2 linked regions of the Tamandua tetradactyla genome follow. The protein of the gene in region 2 interacts with the protein of the main gene of each other region in a pairwise test. Links are inferred from orthologs where the notes say so. Each region holds a gene or a part of one and is shown on either strand. Other genes may lie near its edges.

Region 1 (7,188 bases), on a different chromosome or scaffold from region 2:
TTCAGACATCATTTTTTTCCCCCTCATTTTACAGATCAGGAAACTTAACCATAATGAGGCCAAGTGGTAGTAAGTAGCTGAGGCTGGGTTTAAACCCAGGCAAACTGGCTCTTAACACTGTGCTTTTCCATTCTATGTTTGCTAGCTGAGTTCTCTGCATAGATAAAGCACAGCTAGAGCAGAAATGCTCTTAATTAATGTTGATCATCATTGATTCCTCTTCATAGAACAAGGAGAAATCTTTAAGGTTTTGCTTTTTAATATGGTATCCACTAGCTGCATGTGGCTATTCAAATTTAAATTAATAAAAATTAAATATCCAGTTCATCAGTTGCACCAGTCACAATTTTCAGTACTCAGTAGCTACATGTCTAGTAGCTATCTTTTATCTGACAGTGCAGATATAGAAAAGTGAAATTACAGAAAATTCTATTTTTCTAAGTTGCCAAAGATGTAAATCAAATAACATTTTCTTTAGCCAAATTATTTATCTGGAACACAATTGTAATATGGTAGTGAAGAGGAGTGGGAATTGTTATGAGTAAGTGTCATCTGATAGGCTGTATCACCCAGAGCAGATTGTTTCATATCATTTGAGAATAACAGCCTTGGGGGTCCCGCAGAGTCCCTTTATCAGACACTTGAGGGAATATGTATGGGAAAGGCACCAATCAATGGCATTTTGGTTTTCTGATATGACTGGCTCCAATTAATAGATGTGCAAACCACTGGAGTAGATGAGCTCAGAGTTTCCCTTTATATTTTTTATTTTTTTTGATGACTCAAGCTCAGAGATGATACATACTCAGAGAGAAGGTATTTATAAATTACATTTATAATTTTTAAAAAGTAATACAAAAGCAAAATGGACTGACCAACCCAGTAATCATTTTTATCTTTACCTTGTAAAGTATAAGTATATCCTTATAGATTTCTCCATAATTCCTATTAGTTCTAAATTTCTGGAATTCTGAAAGGTTGAGACGAGCTTATTCAATTATTTTCTAAATATTATTTAGTAACTTATACTGTCATGTTTTTATGTACCTTTTAAAAATACATCCTTGCCATATTTTATTCTATTAAAAAGGCACTAATTCTTGCAGCAAATAATACGACCTCATCTTCTCTGGAAATGCTATTTTTTTCCTGGTTTATTATTGCGAGTCAACACTTGTCTTCTCAAATCAATCGGAAAACAGACACACACATGCACCCATGCTCAGCACAAACGCAGGTGCACATGCAGACACACAGCAATGCTTCTCTGAATATCTTTACCAAGTAATTTAATTGCAGTGATCCCAGGCAACTCTGTACTGGCCTTTATTCTGTTCTTCTGGAAGTGTACTTTGTGTGGCTTTTTGTCTAAACTCTTGGGACAATGCCTGTTTGTTGTTTGGCTGGCACAGTTTCACATATTGCAGAGGGGCAGGTACATCTAGGGTGCTGGTCAAATCAGTATAATAGAGAATTTGATTTGGTCTTGTGTTTGACTAGGAAAATGTGATCCAAAGTCAGCTGGCAAGCACCACTGATACCAACAGCATAAAACAGACTTTCTTTTGACAATGGGCTTCTTAGCAAATATCTTAGGAGATATTGTGAGCACTATGGCCTTACAACAAGTCTTGACCAATATCTGAGAAGAATTTTTAATTTAGCCTTCCACTAAGTAATGCAAAGAATGGAATTTTCTCCTTCTAGAACATTATGTTGACTCGTGGGAAGAAAACAGTCATGCAATTTCATGGAACTCATTTTACAGAAGTGATAATGGCCGTAGAACATTTTTTTGCTACATTGAAAATTTAGTTTGGTTTTAAGATCATACATTTATTAAAAATTATAAATGTACTAATTAAAAATTAGTACTGCTCTAGATTCATAGCAAGCAGGCAATAAATACTTAACAAATTAACAGTCTTGATTTTGATAATAAGTAAAATTGGAACAAATATGTTTATAAAACCTCTTACAGTAATTGCATAGATAAACTAAATGATAAACTTAAAAGGTACGTACATATTTTTCCTCAGAGCTGACAGAATCAACCTTGTGTTTGACCTTGAAACAGAAATAAAAAGAAGAACGATGAGGATGATAAAATGTTTCTAGCACATGGAACTGCATAATTCTTTCATTTTCAAGAATTTCCTTCAGATTGAGCTATACTCACTGGAAGGGCATAGGTGATGCCTAGGAGGCAAAAGCAAATCACTGCAATTCTCATGGTGGTGATTTTTCCTGCAAAATATTTTGTGAGGAGCATATGACATCTTTGTAGGTTAAATCAATGATACTTATTTATGCTATCACATTTCAAAATAATCACTTCTTAGCAAAACCGTTTCTTTTTAATGCTATGGCATTTTGAGTTAATATTTATAATGTTACCTCTCTTCTCCATCTCTCACTATTCAGCAAGGGAGAGAGGGATTTCACAAGTTTATATTCACTTAACTTTTAAATTGAGAATTCCAAAGATTGTACCAGTTTTCCAGCATGCATTTCAAATGTAGTTTTTAACTTAAATTGCTGAAAAGGTGCTATTTAGGTGAACTGAACTTATCTTTAAAGTTAGTTACTTAAGTAGGACATTCTAGAAATTTGAAATTAAAAAGAAAACATTGAGAACAGTCAACAGCTTTTCTATTTCGTAATAATGAGTCTCCATAGTATCATATAAGTGTCTTTGTGAAAAATTAACAGGAAAATACAGATGTAAAACATTCAGAAAGGCACTCTTCCCCTTGAAATTGGACTAAATGAAATAATAAAATTAGTATTAAATTGTGTGACATTAGTACTAAATGTCCTTTTCCTTTTAAATGCTTCTACAACCATCTATCCATTAAAATGATACAGGTATAATAATTCCAAAGGGCACAGAATTTAGCTTCTTGGGGTTTGTTTTCCTATTTGAAGCAGAGGTTTCAGTTCTTTCTGAGGACCTGGTAGAAGTATTTTTGTTTTATTTTTGACCGGTTTTCAAAAATAGTTGGTCACCTTTCCTCCAGGAGATCTGCACTGTATCGGGCATACTTATTCCAATGACTAGAATAATTTGTCTGTCTTGCAGCAGCCTGATTAAACTATTTTCCTTGCTACTTGAATTTCCCCCATGCAATTAAACAGAATGTTTTACAGTACTGCAAAGTGATGCAGCCTGCAGGCTTACCTCGGTGGGTGTCTGGCTGAGAAGGCTGCAACGCGTCAGAGAAGAGTTCAGTCTGGATGAGTCTGTGCTCTCCTGCCTCCTCTGTCTGCTGCTGACGACCAGAACCTCCCCGAATTTAAATGCTGCTCCAGACATTCTCCACCAGCTCAGGGAGGCGGAGAGATGTGTCATGAGGTTTTTTTGCCACTGCCCAGCCCACAAGCTCCCACACTTCCCTTCTGGTTTTGTGGCTTAACAAAACAAAACAAACAAGAAACAAGCACAGATTCCTCTACAGTTAAAATGTTACTTATGAACAATATCATTAACCAGCTTTTTCATTTCTGAGGTTGGCATTAATCATTATGGAAGTACACGTAGGGGATCCCATAAAAAGGGGTGAGGGAGTAACCATCATCAAGATTTTACGCATAGTTTCTGAATTAATAGAAAAATATTAATATATATCAACCTTAAATGAAATGAAATAGTATGTATTTTTTTGTTTCTTTCCGTTTAAGTAACAGCCAAATTTGTCTCCATGATTAGACATACTGAAGAGCTGAAAAGATATTGCTGTACAGCATATGAAGAGTTCAGTTAGCCTCCCTCCATACTAAACTACTAAAGCTTAGTTTTGTATTCAAAGATGCAGCAGCTCATTGACTTAGACAAATGGCATTAGTGATATTAAAAATTTATGTTCATGCCCGTTAAGTCGGATTTACAGTCATGTTTCAAGGACACAGATTTTTGTTGCACTGATGAGGATGCGTGAGCTGTTAGGAGGTGATGAATCTGATAACTTGCTATATATAAAATAGAAGAATCATTATTTACTCTAGATGTTGCTGTAGTAAAGCAGTTTAAGACTGAAAACAGGGTGAATGCTTGAAGAGGGCTGGTTCAGGAGCAAGGGAGTGGGCTTTGAATCCCGTCCTGCCTCTAGTTAGCTGTGGAGGAATCTTGGGCAAAATACTTGACCTACCTTTGCCTGTCTCCTCATCTGTAAAATGGACATACTATTACTTAGCTTATAAGGATTTTGAGAAGCTTAAATGATTGAAAAATTAAAAGTATCAATGCCAGACAGAAATTATATGCAAGTGCTTGGCACGTATATGCAAATGTGTGGTTTATATTAAGCCCTGTGTGAGTGTTAACTATTACTGTAATTTTTAGAAAAGAGTTAGTCATGATTTGTAATATCTTTAGATGGAGTAGATTATTAGAAGTTTGTTATTAGTTATTAGGTCTTTAAGTTGTGTCTGGAAATAGGGTAATTTGCCCACCACTGAAAGGTTGATTAGATTTCTATATCATCTTTTTATATATGCATCTATGGTTGGTTGCTTAGAAAAGGAAAAAAAAACCCAAATATCTCTATACTTAAAAAGTTTTACTGGATACGTAAAGGTATTTAAAGAAAATTACAGATGATGCTTGAATAATGGAGCAGAAATCAGGGATAGTAGAGCTCTGAGCTCGTTTTAAATATTTCATATTGTCTTGACATTAACTTAATCTTTTTACCTACCTTTCCCAGTTGTGAAATTTGTTTTTACTATTCATTTACCTCACACTTTCATTGTAATCATTGCAGATGAAAGTGAGATTAAAAGATAAATGGTGCTATTTATTATAAGTTCTTAAGTGTCAGCTCCTATTTGCCAAATATTGCTTTTAAAATAAATCTAGATTTAAACAATTTCCTGCTATGTTAGTAAAAACAGTAACTAGATTTTATGAACATTTCATGAGGGAAACTGGGTCTCTTTTAAATTGGATGTATTCAAAATGAATTGGTATTGTTGATTTGTGGGTTATATGCGCACATTTTAATAATTCAGATTGTGCCTCTCTGAAATATAAACGCACATGGATATAAAATTGCAAAACAGTTGCCTTGTTTCTGTCTTCAACAACTTTTTTTCTTAAACACATTACCCACGGGATGTTTGTCATGTTGTCAGTTTAGCGGGGGCAAGTCCACAGATTCTAAAAACAACTAGCTGTCCCCACAGGACTCACTATAGTTTATTTTGTGCCCACGGGAATGATTTAATATGAACTTAGGGAGTTGAGTTATAGGAATAGATTTTGTTGGAACTCAACCATCTTGAGATGAACCATATGACCCTTTCCAGGACTTTTCTGGTCATAATGGCTCCAACGTGCCACACGATGGCAGTGTTTCGGAAAAGAATCTCAGACCACAATCTGGCTCTATCAGTTTTCTTATTCCGGCAGAATAGAACATCCACTACTATTTAAGACAAAACTATAAAACAGCTGTGAGTCCTCCCTTTCTTGAATGCCAGGTGAGGAAATATTTCCCAACAATGACCCACCATGCGGTAACTGGGAATACAGCGACCAAGAAAACCAAAACATTTTTGTTCTGCTCTGGTCTTGCCTTCAGCAACTCCAGGTTGATGCTGTTGTCTCCTTTCCCACTTCCCACATTCACTCAAAACGTTATTCTCACTCAGAATAAAGCCTTATGAATGCATGTTTAAAGAATACGTCTGGGATGCTGCAGAGTTGAAAAGGCTCTTCTGTAAAGTATTAAATGGATACTTGTGTCATTCTGACTGCAAGAGGCTCATGTTTCTTGGGTTTTGTAATCAAACCTGCTGACACTTAGTCTTTTGTGAGTAAGATTTTCCAACTGTCAGAATTAACACATTAAATGAACTAAGTCAGAGACACTTGCTCTGTAGTATTTCCACACTATTTCCATACTTGATTAGACTAGTGGTTGTTAGAATCGAAAGGTCAAAATGCCTGAATTCCTTGTAAATCTTTTGCTACGTGGAAAGGAAAAAGTTTTCTTGTTACACCAGAATGCAAAGAGTGGTTCATTATCTTAAAATATTAAGGGGATACATGGAAACATATAAACAACATTATATATTTTTTCCTCATTACATGAAGATTCCCATTTTAATAGGAAACATTAAGTACCTAGATGTCCATTTTAGGTGGATAACTTTACTGGCTTCAAACTTACTTTGACTAGCCTAATTACACTTTATGTAGTAAGGTATTGCCATCTATTTCAATTTTTTCAGCTCTGCAAATAATTATTTTTTTGCCCTGAATGTTCAGATTCAGACAATGAATCTAATTCAAATGCTTATCTTGAGAACATCACTAATCTGTCCTAGCAAACTTGGGAATTAGAACTAAGTATAATCAGAAGTCCAGCACAATATTCATCATTTGTAGTCTTGGTAAGGATGAATTAGGTTCTGGCATGAAATTTGAATATTTCAGTAATTACAAATAAAAAAGACACACCATAATGCCCTTTATCCTGTGGCTCAATGACCTAGACAACAAAATCTAGCTCCTGAAAAGCAGGGTTTTGGTAAACATTAGTTTTACTTAAAGCAAATTATAACATTTTCTCTTTGGATCCATGGAATTGTTATAGAGTAAATTTTACACTCAGTATATTATCAGTGATTAAGCACTCAGCCCTTCATCCATAAGAACTAATTCTTGTATGGGCACTGTGATTGAATCCATAGTATATATATATCTCATATGCTGATGTTTAATATTTACCAGTGCTCAAGAATCTTGTAGAATTTCTTTATTAAATTATTACCACCATCTCTGCGGGCATTCCACACTCTTTAATTTATAGACTCTTAGAGTGGATATAGATCATTAACTATTTTCTTTTCTTAAAATGGCACCATCCTTAGCCCAATGGAGCCCATTTATTCAGGAAAACTAACTAAAGAATATGATCCCATGCAACTACTGAGGTTAGGAGGTGTGATTAAACAATAAATTCAGGGAGGCTATGGACAGAGAAGGCAGATGGTAGAGGCCCTATGCCTACATTGGGGTTGAGGAGATGTGTCTTCTGGGATTGAGCACAAACAGAAAAACTCTGTTCCCACCTAACATCAATTACATTGGCATAGAATTTTGGCACAGAATCCCTGCAGCAACACGGGGAACAATAGGAGTCTGTAATAAAAAGGACCCAGAGAGGGAGGTAGAAAGCTGCA
Region 2 (7,798 bases):
GACTCTGCTGTGCTTGGGGGCCCCCTCGACACTGAAGGTGGGGAACAGTAAAGACACCAAAGGCAGGATGAGACTGCTGCAAAAGACTACTCAGGTCCAAGGAGACTGAGTGGAGAATGTGCTCTACCTTCAGGAAGGCAGAGCTTTGTGTTTGTATCTTTGACTTCCTAGGAACTAGTACAATACATAGTATGAGACTTAAATAAATTAGGTACATAATAAATACCTGTAACATCTACAAATAAATTACTGACAAAAAGTAGAGACTGTGGTTTCCTAACCTTTACGAGCAGACAGAGAAGACAACAGGTTGCAGCCTACAACACAAACTAATGAGGTTAGGATATCTCAATGCTAAATATGTTAACTAAGAAATTAAACAAAAAACAACTGAATCCTTTAAAATTTTTAATTGAAAGGAGATGCCATGAGAGTTATCTGACAAGTCTGAAACAAACTTCTTAAATACAGGCACCAAGAGGACTGGGAGGGATGAGATAGTCTCACAAGGATATTTTTTCTACCCCAAAGAATGAAGATTGCAGAGAAGAATCCTGTGGATGTGACCACTCATGACCCCAGTCCTGGGGCTGGTTGGCCTTACCCACTCACCTCCATGCGGGAGAGTAAGGTCTGTATATCTCTTATCATGTGCTGAGCCATCACTAGCCGGACCCGGGGCTCGCTCTATGAAGAGAGGAGAGATGATCAGGGCAGGTTTGAGATGTACCCATGTGTTCCAGCACCTACTATAGCAGGACCCAGCTATCTCCTCAGCCAGACCCAACCCCACCTCAAGGCCTCCTTCTCCCAGATCCCCTTCCCTGACCCTCCCAGGCCCTGTGATACCTGAATTGGGGCCTGTTCCATGTTGATGTGAACATCCACAGCAGAGCCGTCACTCTGAGGAAAGGGTAAGGGAAGTTGCTCTGGGAGAAGCCAAAGACTAAGGCCCGCATACCTCCAAATCATTCTCTGGAGTTCCATCCTTTTTTGTCTCTCAAAGATCAAACCCAATGTCAGACCACAGGGCTTTCCAAATTCACACTAAAACCTGAGACACCTGTCTCAGGAGTGCCCTGCTGCTACCACAACCGCATCTACCGTTCCCTACAAAAAAAACCTCCCATGTGGAACACAAGCTTACAGGAAGATTGAAGGTTCCAACCATGACATAGCTGTTGGCGTTCCGGTCATGAACAGAGGCCCCAGGAACTCGAGTACCAGGTGGGGGACCCCCACCATGGGTGGCTGAAGGAGACCCTGTTCCAGAAGATGCTCCAGAAGAAGGGAGCTGAGTCTGAGGAGGAGCCCGTTCCACCAAGTGGATAACCTTTCCCCCAACATCTACAGGAAAGAAAAATCACACCAAGACATCGTATGATTAGGTAAACCCACAGACTCAGCCCATCCCGCCACACAGCAGCTTTAACCTCTGACTGGCCCCTCCCATACTCTTACTGTATTCTTGGAGCTTTTTATCATCCTGCAAAACTCGACCCTGGTAAATGAGCCGTTGTTTCTCAGAGGGGATGCTGACAGAGGCAGCAATGTGCTCCTTAAACTCTTTTACATTCATCTGCAAGGAGAAGAGACAAGGATAGGAATCAGGGAATGTAGGAAGAACACAAGAGAAACAGCTGCCTTAGAGTGAGAGGTAAAAACCATCATAAAAATCACTACCCATTTATTTCGATTGTGAAACCCTAAGCTGAAAACATACCTGCCAAAACAGACAATAAAGTCAGTTAAACTCAGGTTATAAGCCCAGATGAGAATTACATGGCTGAGAAATAGAAAAGCCAACTTGCATTCCTTCCACTTCTCTGGCTCCCAAGGGAATGTGTGTCTAGAGATACCAGTAACCCCTCCGCAAACAAAAATGATTAACCACAGACTATTTCATAATCTCAAAGATAAAACCAATGACAAGGAAGATGGGGGTAGGGGGGATCAGGTTAAGAGGGGAAAACTCAACCAAAGAGGAGGTTAGAAATGGAGTAAAAAGGAAAACACTTTTCCTAAACAACTTGGGAAGTACCAGGGTGTTTACACACATTGCATCAGAAAGTCTAAATGGCTTTCTTAAACACTGCATGTAATATCAGGTTTAAAAAAAAACACACCAACTCATTCAAGATTTTTGTCTCCAAATATTACAAGAGTAAAGTACAGCTGTGTCCATAGCATTAAACTTGAGATTAAATTATGCCACAAACAGTCATAATTCCTACTCAACTGCTTATTAAAGCACTATCCACATAATGGGCTCTAATTTCCAGTCTTAAAAATAGAGTTTAGGCCTGACAGTTTTTTTTTTCAAAACACACTTGTGCTTTGGGTCTGCATGTTTTGTTTCCCCTTTGCACTGAGGGCCAGCTGCAATGGCCTACAGAGTCCTCCTTCCTTTCTATTTCCCTCTGTACTGAGATCTACAGATGAAGAGAAAGACAAAACAAAATCTGTCTCAGGAACAGAAACATCAAAAAACAATAAAAAACGTTCTGTTCCAGAATATGAACAAAGAAATCAACAACAAAAAAAACCTGAGGACAAGAAAATCAGACTCTTCCCTCAGGCTAAGAGCCTACAAAATGAAGAAGTAATCAATGTCTTCCACAAGTGTTAGGATCTCACCTGGGCCCCCACAATAAAGGTCCGAGTCTGAGAGTCTAGGGTCTTCACCAACACCTCCAGGCTGTCAGGTTCCTCCATAGCGGCACTGGTACTATCACTGCGCTCCATGGCCGACAGCTATCTAGGGAAGAATGGGGGGAAGAGAGGGAAGGAGGCCCGCTGTCGCCCGGACCAGATTTTATATTCCCGAAAGCCTCCCTGGCCTGAGCCCCCGTCCCAATACCTAAAAAGTTTCTCCGACAAAAGTACATGCACTCATAAGCTCCCCCATCCCCCTTCTAATTGTGGGACACAAGGAGAGAAACACAAAGGGCAAGAGAGCGACGGCCTAGGGAACTATAAGACGGGGGTGGGAGGAGCTCCACGATGCCAATCACCATAAAAGAGGGCCAGTCAGGTTAGGAAGCAGGGAAGGAAGGAGGCACGAGACCAGAAGTGTCATCACCGGTCGCAATAGAAAAAGGGCCCCAGAGGTCGGCAAACCCTGGGATAACGCGAGCAGGGTTCGGTCCAGACGCTGCGGAAAGAGTGGCTTCGCGCACGCGCGCCACGCCCATCGAACCCGCGTAAGTCACGACGGACCGAAGACCGCGGACATTCAAGAGGGACGGAACGGCTAGCTGTTTGCCCTCTTCCGCCTGCCTTTGGTGCTCCAACAGAGCGGCGCAACCAACACACAACCAACCACACGCACGTGTGTACGTACACACACACACAGACACACACAGACGCACGCACACCACCTCGCAACCCCGCCCCCTACTTCCCCCACGGTACCGTCACTTCCGGTCTCCCCCAACCTGCCACCGACGGCCACTTCCGTTTCCCCGACAGTATTAGGGGCTCGCGAGGCGGCACTTCTGGCTCCGCAAGACCCCCAAGCTTTCCTTTTGTGGGGCTCGACGAGAAATTCCAGAGCCCCAAACAGTGAATTCCTGGGGGCGAGACGGACCGGGGCCGGCCTAGATGGGAGGGAGCCGACCACCCCGAGGAGCCGCCGCCGCCGTCGCCTGGGGGACCGTACTGCGCCTGCGTGCGTTACATACGCGTGCGTACACACTTGAAGCGCCTCCCCACCCCCGGTAGCGCGGTTCGTGTTTCCTGTGCGCGCGTGAGCGCTATAAAGTTCAGGTGGCCACTATAAATGCCTGAAAATAAATTACCAGACGGGAGTCCATGACTGCCTCAAGAGATACTTTGAACAGTTGTATGAATCTTGTAGTTTGGGGACTCAGGATTATGCCTCATTAATCTATGTCAAAGTTCTGACAGGCGGAGAATTTGAGGCGGCACTGCTCTAGCCACCTAAAACTTTGCTTTCCTCTCACTGTCGCCCTAGTCGCGCTCTTTCTTCTTTCTGCATCTTCGAAAGTCACCCTTTCTGCGGGCGGTTGGGGGCAGCTTGTGGGCCGCCTGTCCCCCTGCGTCCGGTTGCGTCGTTTGGAGAGACTTCGACGCTGACCGGCGGGCGTTCGTGGGGTGCCAGCGCCATGTTCTGGCAGTGCACGACCGAGGGGACATGCCATGTTTTTCAAAAGCTGTGGGTTCTTTCAGGATGTGTCAAGAAAAGGAATGCCTCCGAATTTGGGAATTGGGAGCAAGTGAAGTCAGACTGGCCCTAAAAACGAGACTCTGGCCCTAAATTGAGGCTGTCAAGGGACTTCGGCAGGCCCGGGACAGGGCTGGGATTATCGTCCCTGTACACTCCCCACCGAACAAGGTCTTTGCCCCTACGCCGTTGCGACCCCTCCAGCCAGGCCTGTCTTTGTCCGGGTGCCAACCTGCGCTGACCAACCTTCCCAGGATTTGAAGTTTTTATATACCCACGTTCCAGTACTGTTTCAGTTAAGACTTTAATAAACATCTGTTTAGTGAGCATTTATTTTATGCCAGCCAGCATACTAAGGGTTTTACGTACTGTTGTCATAGTTAAGCTTTTTTCATCTGAGATAGTCGGGTTTATAGGTGAGTTCACTTAGACGAACATTAATTGGCAGAAAGAACTGATGATCAAATCTAGGCTTGCCAGACTCTGGGTCAAGTACTTCTACTTTGCTGCCCCAATAAATTAATGTATTTTTATTTTTTGTTATAAAATATTTCATACACACCCTAAAGTAGTAGTAGTAGTAGTATGAACCCTTATATACATCAATCATCCAGATTATTTTTTGTTTTGTTTTTAAACTAAATTTTGCAAGCTTATAGTAAGTTTCACCTCTCAGGACAAATTTGGGGGGACAGTCATGAATTATGAATAATCTATTAAGAAAGCCCCCTTTCACTGCATTAACTGTTCTGTTCCCTTGGGATTATCCAATTACTGCTTCTACACAGTTCTTCTTACCTCCTATTAAGAACTTAGTACCCATCAGAAACTAATAAGTGCAAACATTAATTACAATGAATTTTTACTTTGAATTTATGTGCAGCCTTCTACTAAGGGCTTTATGTGCATTATTTCATTTAATCCTATGAGATGGACGATTTACCCATTATACAGATAAAGAAACAAGCATAGAGATTAATAAAACTGCCCAACACCTAATAAGCAGAGTTGGGTTTGAACCCAGATTTGCCTTATACCAAAGATCTTAACACTAGATGATACAGCCTCTTACTTGGCAATAAACATTGAACAAATGCATTCACTTACATGCCAGCAAACTTTTCCAGAATGTATGTGCACTGTTTCCTCAATTATAAACAAGCTCCTATAGAAAGAAAGCCTATCACCCAGTATGTTTCACTGTCTGGATCATACCTGTTCTACAGCACTTAGGTTGTATTGTAATGATTTGTTTATATAGTCAGTTTTCCCAAGGCAGATTTCTTGAGGCCCAGGATTGTGCCTTATCTTGAAGTCCCTGGAGCTTAGCCAGTTTCTAACAAACAGCTGGGACTCAAAAGAGTTTGCTAAGTGAATGAATGAAAGACTCTCCAATGCTGCACAACACAGCAGATACAGCTCAGCTATGGGTTGACAGACCAAAGGGCTTTTACTTGGGTTCAGTTCTCATAACTCCTGAGAAACCCCAGACATATTAGGGTGTACTCTAGAATGGCTGCATATAGAGATGGGAGGAAGGTCCGAACACTAATCCTGGTTTGGGTTGGAAAACAAGGTTGAAGTTACTCATTAGCAGGTGAAAGGGTCAAGGATCAAGGCAAGGGGGCTGGAAACAGAGTGGACTGAGCAGCCAGCAGGGGAGAGAGCAGTACAGGGACCAGCCACCCCACACAGGGCACCAGCTCCCTCTTGCCTGAAGATGTTCCACCGAATTTGGGCAGCTCTGCTCTACCTCTATGGCATTCTCCTTGATTCCATGTACTACTGCCCTGAGCACAGTCAACTGACAACTCTGGGAGTGGATGGGAAAGAGGTATGGAAGAGAACACGTGAAGCCTATGGTGGAGGCCCTGGGGAATTTGGGTGGGTGGCTTAGGATGACCAGAAGCCACATGGGGAAAGGAGGGGAAGAAGATGCTGTGAGTGTTGTGATGACAAAAGCAGGGAGAAAGATTTTAGTTCTGAAGCCATAACTGTGGAGACATGGCAGAATTGGAGTGGGGGTGGGGTGGGATGGTGGCTACCCAAGTCATTGATGACTTGCTGTCATGGATCTGACCCCCATTTGCAAAGAGGAAAGCAGCCAATGCCTATCCTGACTGACAATTTGCTTTTCAAATTGTCTCTTCAGTTTCCAGAGCCCCACCTAGGTCGGTGGTACTTTATCGCAGGGGCAGCTCCCACCAGGGAGGAATTGGCGACTTTTGACCCTGTGGACAACATTGTCTTCAATATGACTACTGACTCTGCCCCAAGACACCTCCAGCTTCGTGCTACTATCCGCACGTGAGTGACGAGGAGGTAGAGGTGTCAGTGGGTGTGGTCTCTGCCCAAAGAGTAAGCACTCATCCACCAAGAGCTGGGCTCTTGGCTGGTACCTCCACTATTCTTGGCTCAGTAGTACTTATTTCCCTTTGGAAAGAGAAAGCTAGATCTAACCATTCTTTGGTAGCTTGAAATCCACAGGGATCCAAGTTTCCTTCAAGGAGGAGTAAAGGGAGGCTGGGACTATGTGGTTGGAGTGTCTCTAAGTCTGTCCTTCATGCCACCACCACCTCTGTAGGAAAAACGGGCTCTGTGTGCCCCGGAAGTGGATCTATTACCTGACTGACGGGAGCACCGATCTTAGAACTGAAGGTTGGTTCCTTCAGCCCTCACCCTCTCCATGTCCTCTGGCCTTGCTTATGCATCTCTGTCCTCATCCCCTGCCCCCCCACTCACCCTGACAGGCCGCCCTGACATGAAAACGAAGCTCTTCTCCAGCTCGTGCCCAGGAGGAATCATGTTGAAAGAGATGGGCCAGGGTTACCAGCGTTTCCTCTTCTACAGTGAGTGGGGATGCAAGGCAGGAAAGGTCAGAGGGAAACAGGAAGGCAAGAGAGCCCTTACTCTGAATCCCTTAACATCACCCCAGGAAGGGGTGACGTGCCCATGAGGTACTCACCAGGGTGATGCTGAGAAGCAGGGCCTTTGACTGTCCTGGCCCTGCCCTTCCAGATCGCTCACCACATCCTCCTGAGAAGTGTGTGGAGGAATTCCAGTTCCTGACCTCCTGCCTGGACTCCAAGGCCTTCTTACTGACTCCCAAGAATCAAGGTGAGGGGTTAAATTCCTACTGCAGAAGACTAGGACTGAGTAAGTCTGGGGATGCTGGATGAAGGAGGGCTCATGTAATGTCACCTGAGGGCATAAACAAAGGCTGATGTCATCAGAGTAGCTGGACTGACACCTCCATTTGGGTCAAAGGCTATGATGGCATCAGAAGGATTTGGTCAAGGGCTGGGGATTTAGTCAAGATGGGCTCTAACCTACTCAAAAGAGCCATTTCTGAGTTCATAGTGGGTAAAGGGAGGCCGGGGCCAGACATGGAGGGAAAATGGCACAGGGGAACAAAGGAACACATTACTACCATCAGCCTTGCTCCTCTTCATGGTCTTCCCTCCTTCCTATCCTCTTTTTTTTTTCCTCCCTCCTGCCACAGAGGCCTGCGAGCTGTCCAGCAACTGACCTCTGGCTCTCTCTGTGCCTTGAGACAGATATTGTGGGAGCTGAGATTCTGGTGGGGGGAAAAGCTGGAGACTCCCAACTTCC

The links. The genes of interacting proteins can lie anywhere in the genome.
Region 1: the proteins of BAG6 (region 2) and SPP1 interact in binary tests that used the Homo sapiens proteins (3 or more experiments, as listed by UniProt). The link is inferred for Tamandua tetradactyla from reciprocal best matches to the Homo sapiens genes BAG6 and SPP1.

The regions. Positions count from the first base shown.
Region 1 is NC_135350.1:38,797,811-38,804,998, forward strand, and holds the start of SPP1 (osteopontin), read right to left. Parts: upstream 3,319-7,188; 5' UTR 3,182-3,318; intron 2,248-3,181; 5' UTR 2,234-2,247; coding exon 2,180-2,233; intron 2,068-2,179; coding exon 2,026-2,067; intron 1-2,025. UniProt on the Homo sapiens protein: Major non-collagenous bone protein that binds tightly to hydroxyapatite. Appears to form an integral part of the mineralized matrix. Probably important to cell-matrix interaction.
Region 2 is NC_135331.1:87,239,861-87,247,658, forward strand, and holds the start of BAG6 (large proline-rich protein BAG6), read right to left. Parts: upstream 3,127-7,798; 5' UTR 3,018-3,126; coding exon 3,015-3,017; intron 2,992-3,014; exon of another isoform or gene 2,861-2,991; intron 2,759-2,860; exon of another isoform or gene 2,755-2,758; coding exon 2,638-2,754; intron 1,580-2,637; coding exon 1,462-1,579; intron 1,348-1,461; coding exon 1,148-1,347; intron 904-1,147; coding exon 850-903; intron 688-849; coding exon 613-687; intron 32-612; coding exon 1-31. Other genes in the region: APOM (apolipoprotein M), read left to right, coding at 5,907-6,020, 6,339-6,493, 6,771-6,844, 6,937-7,035, 7,205-7,365. UniProt on the Homo sapiens protein: ATP-independent molecular chaperone preventing the aggregation of misfolded and hydrophobic patches-containing proteins.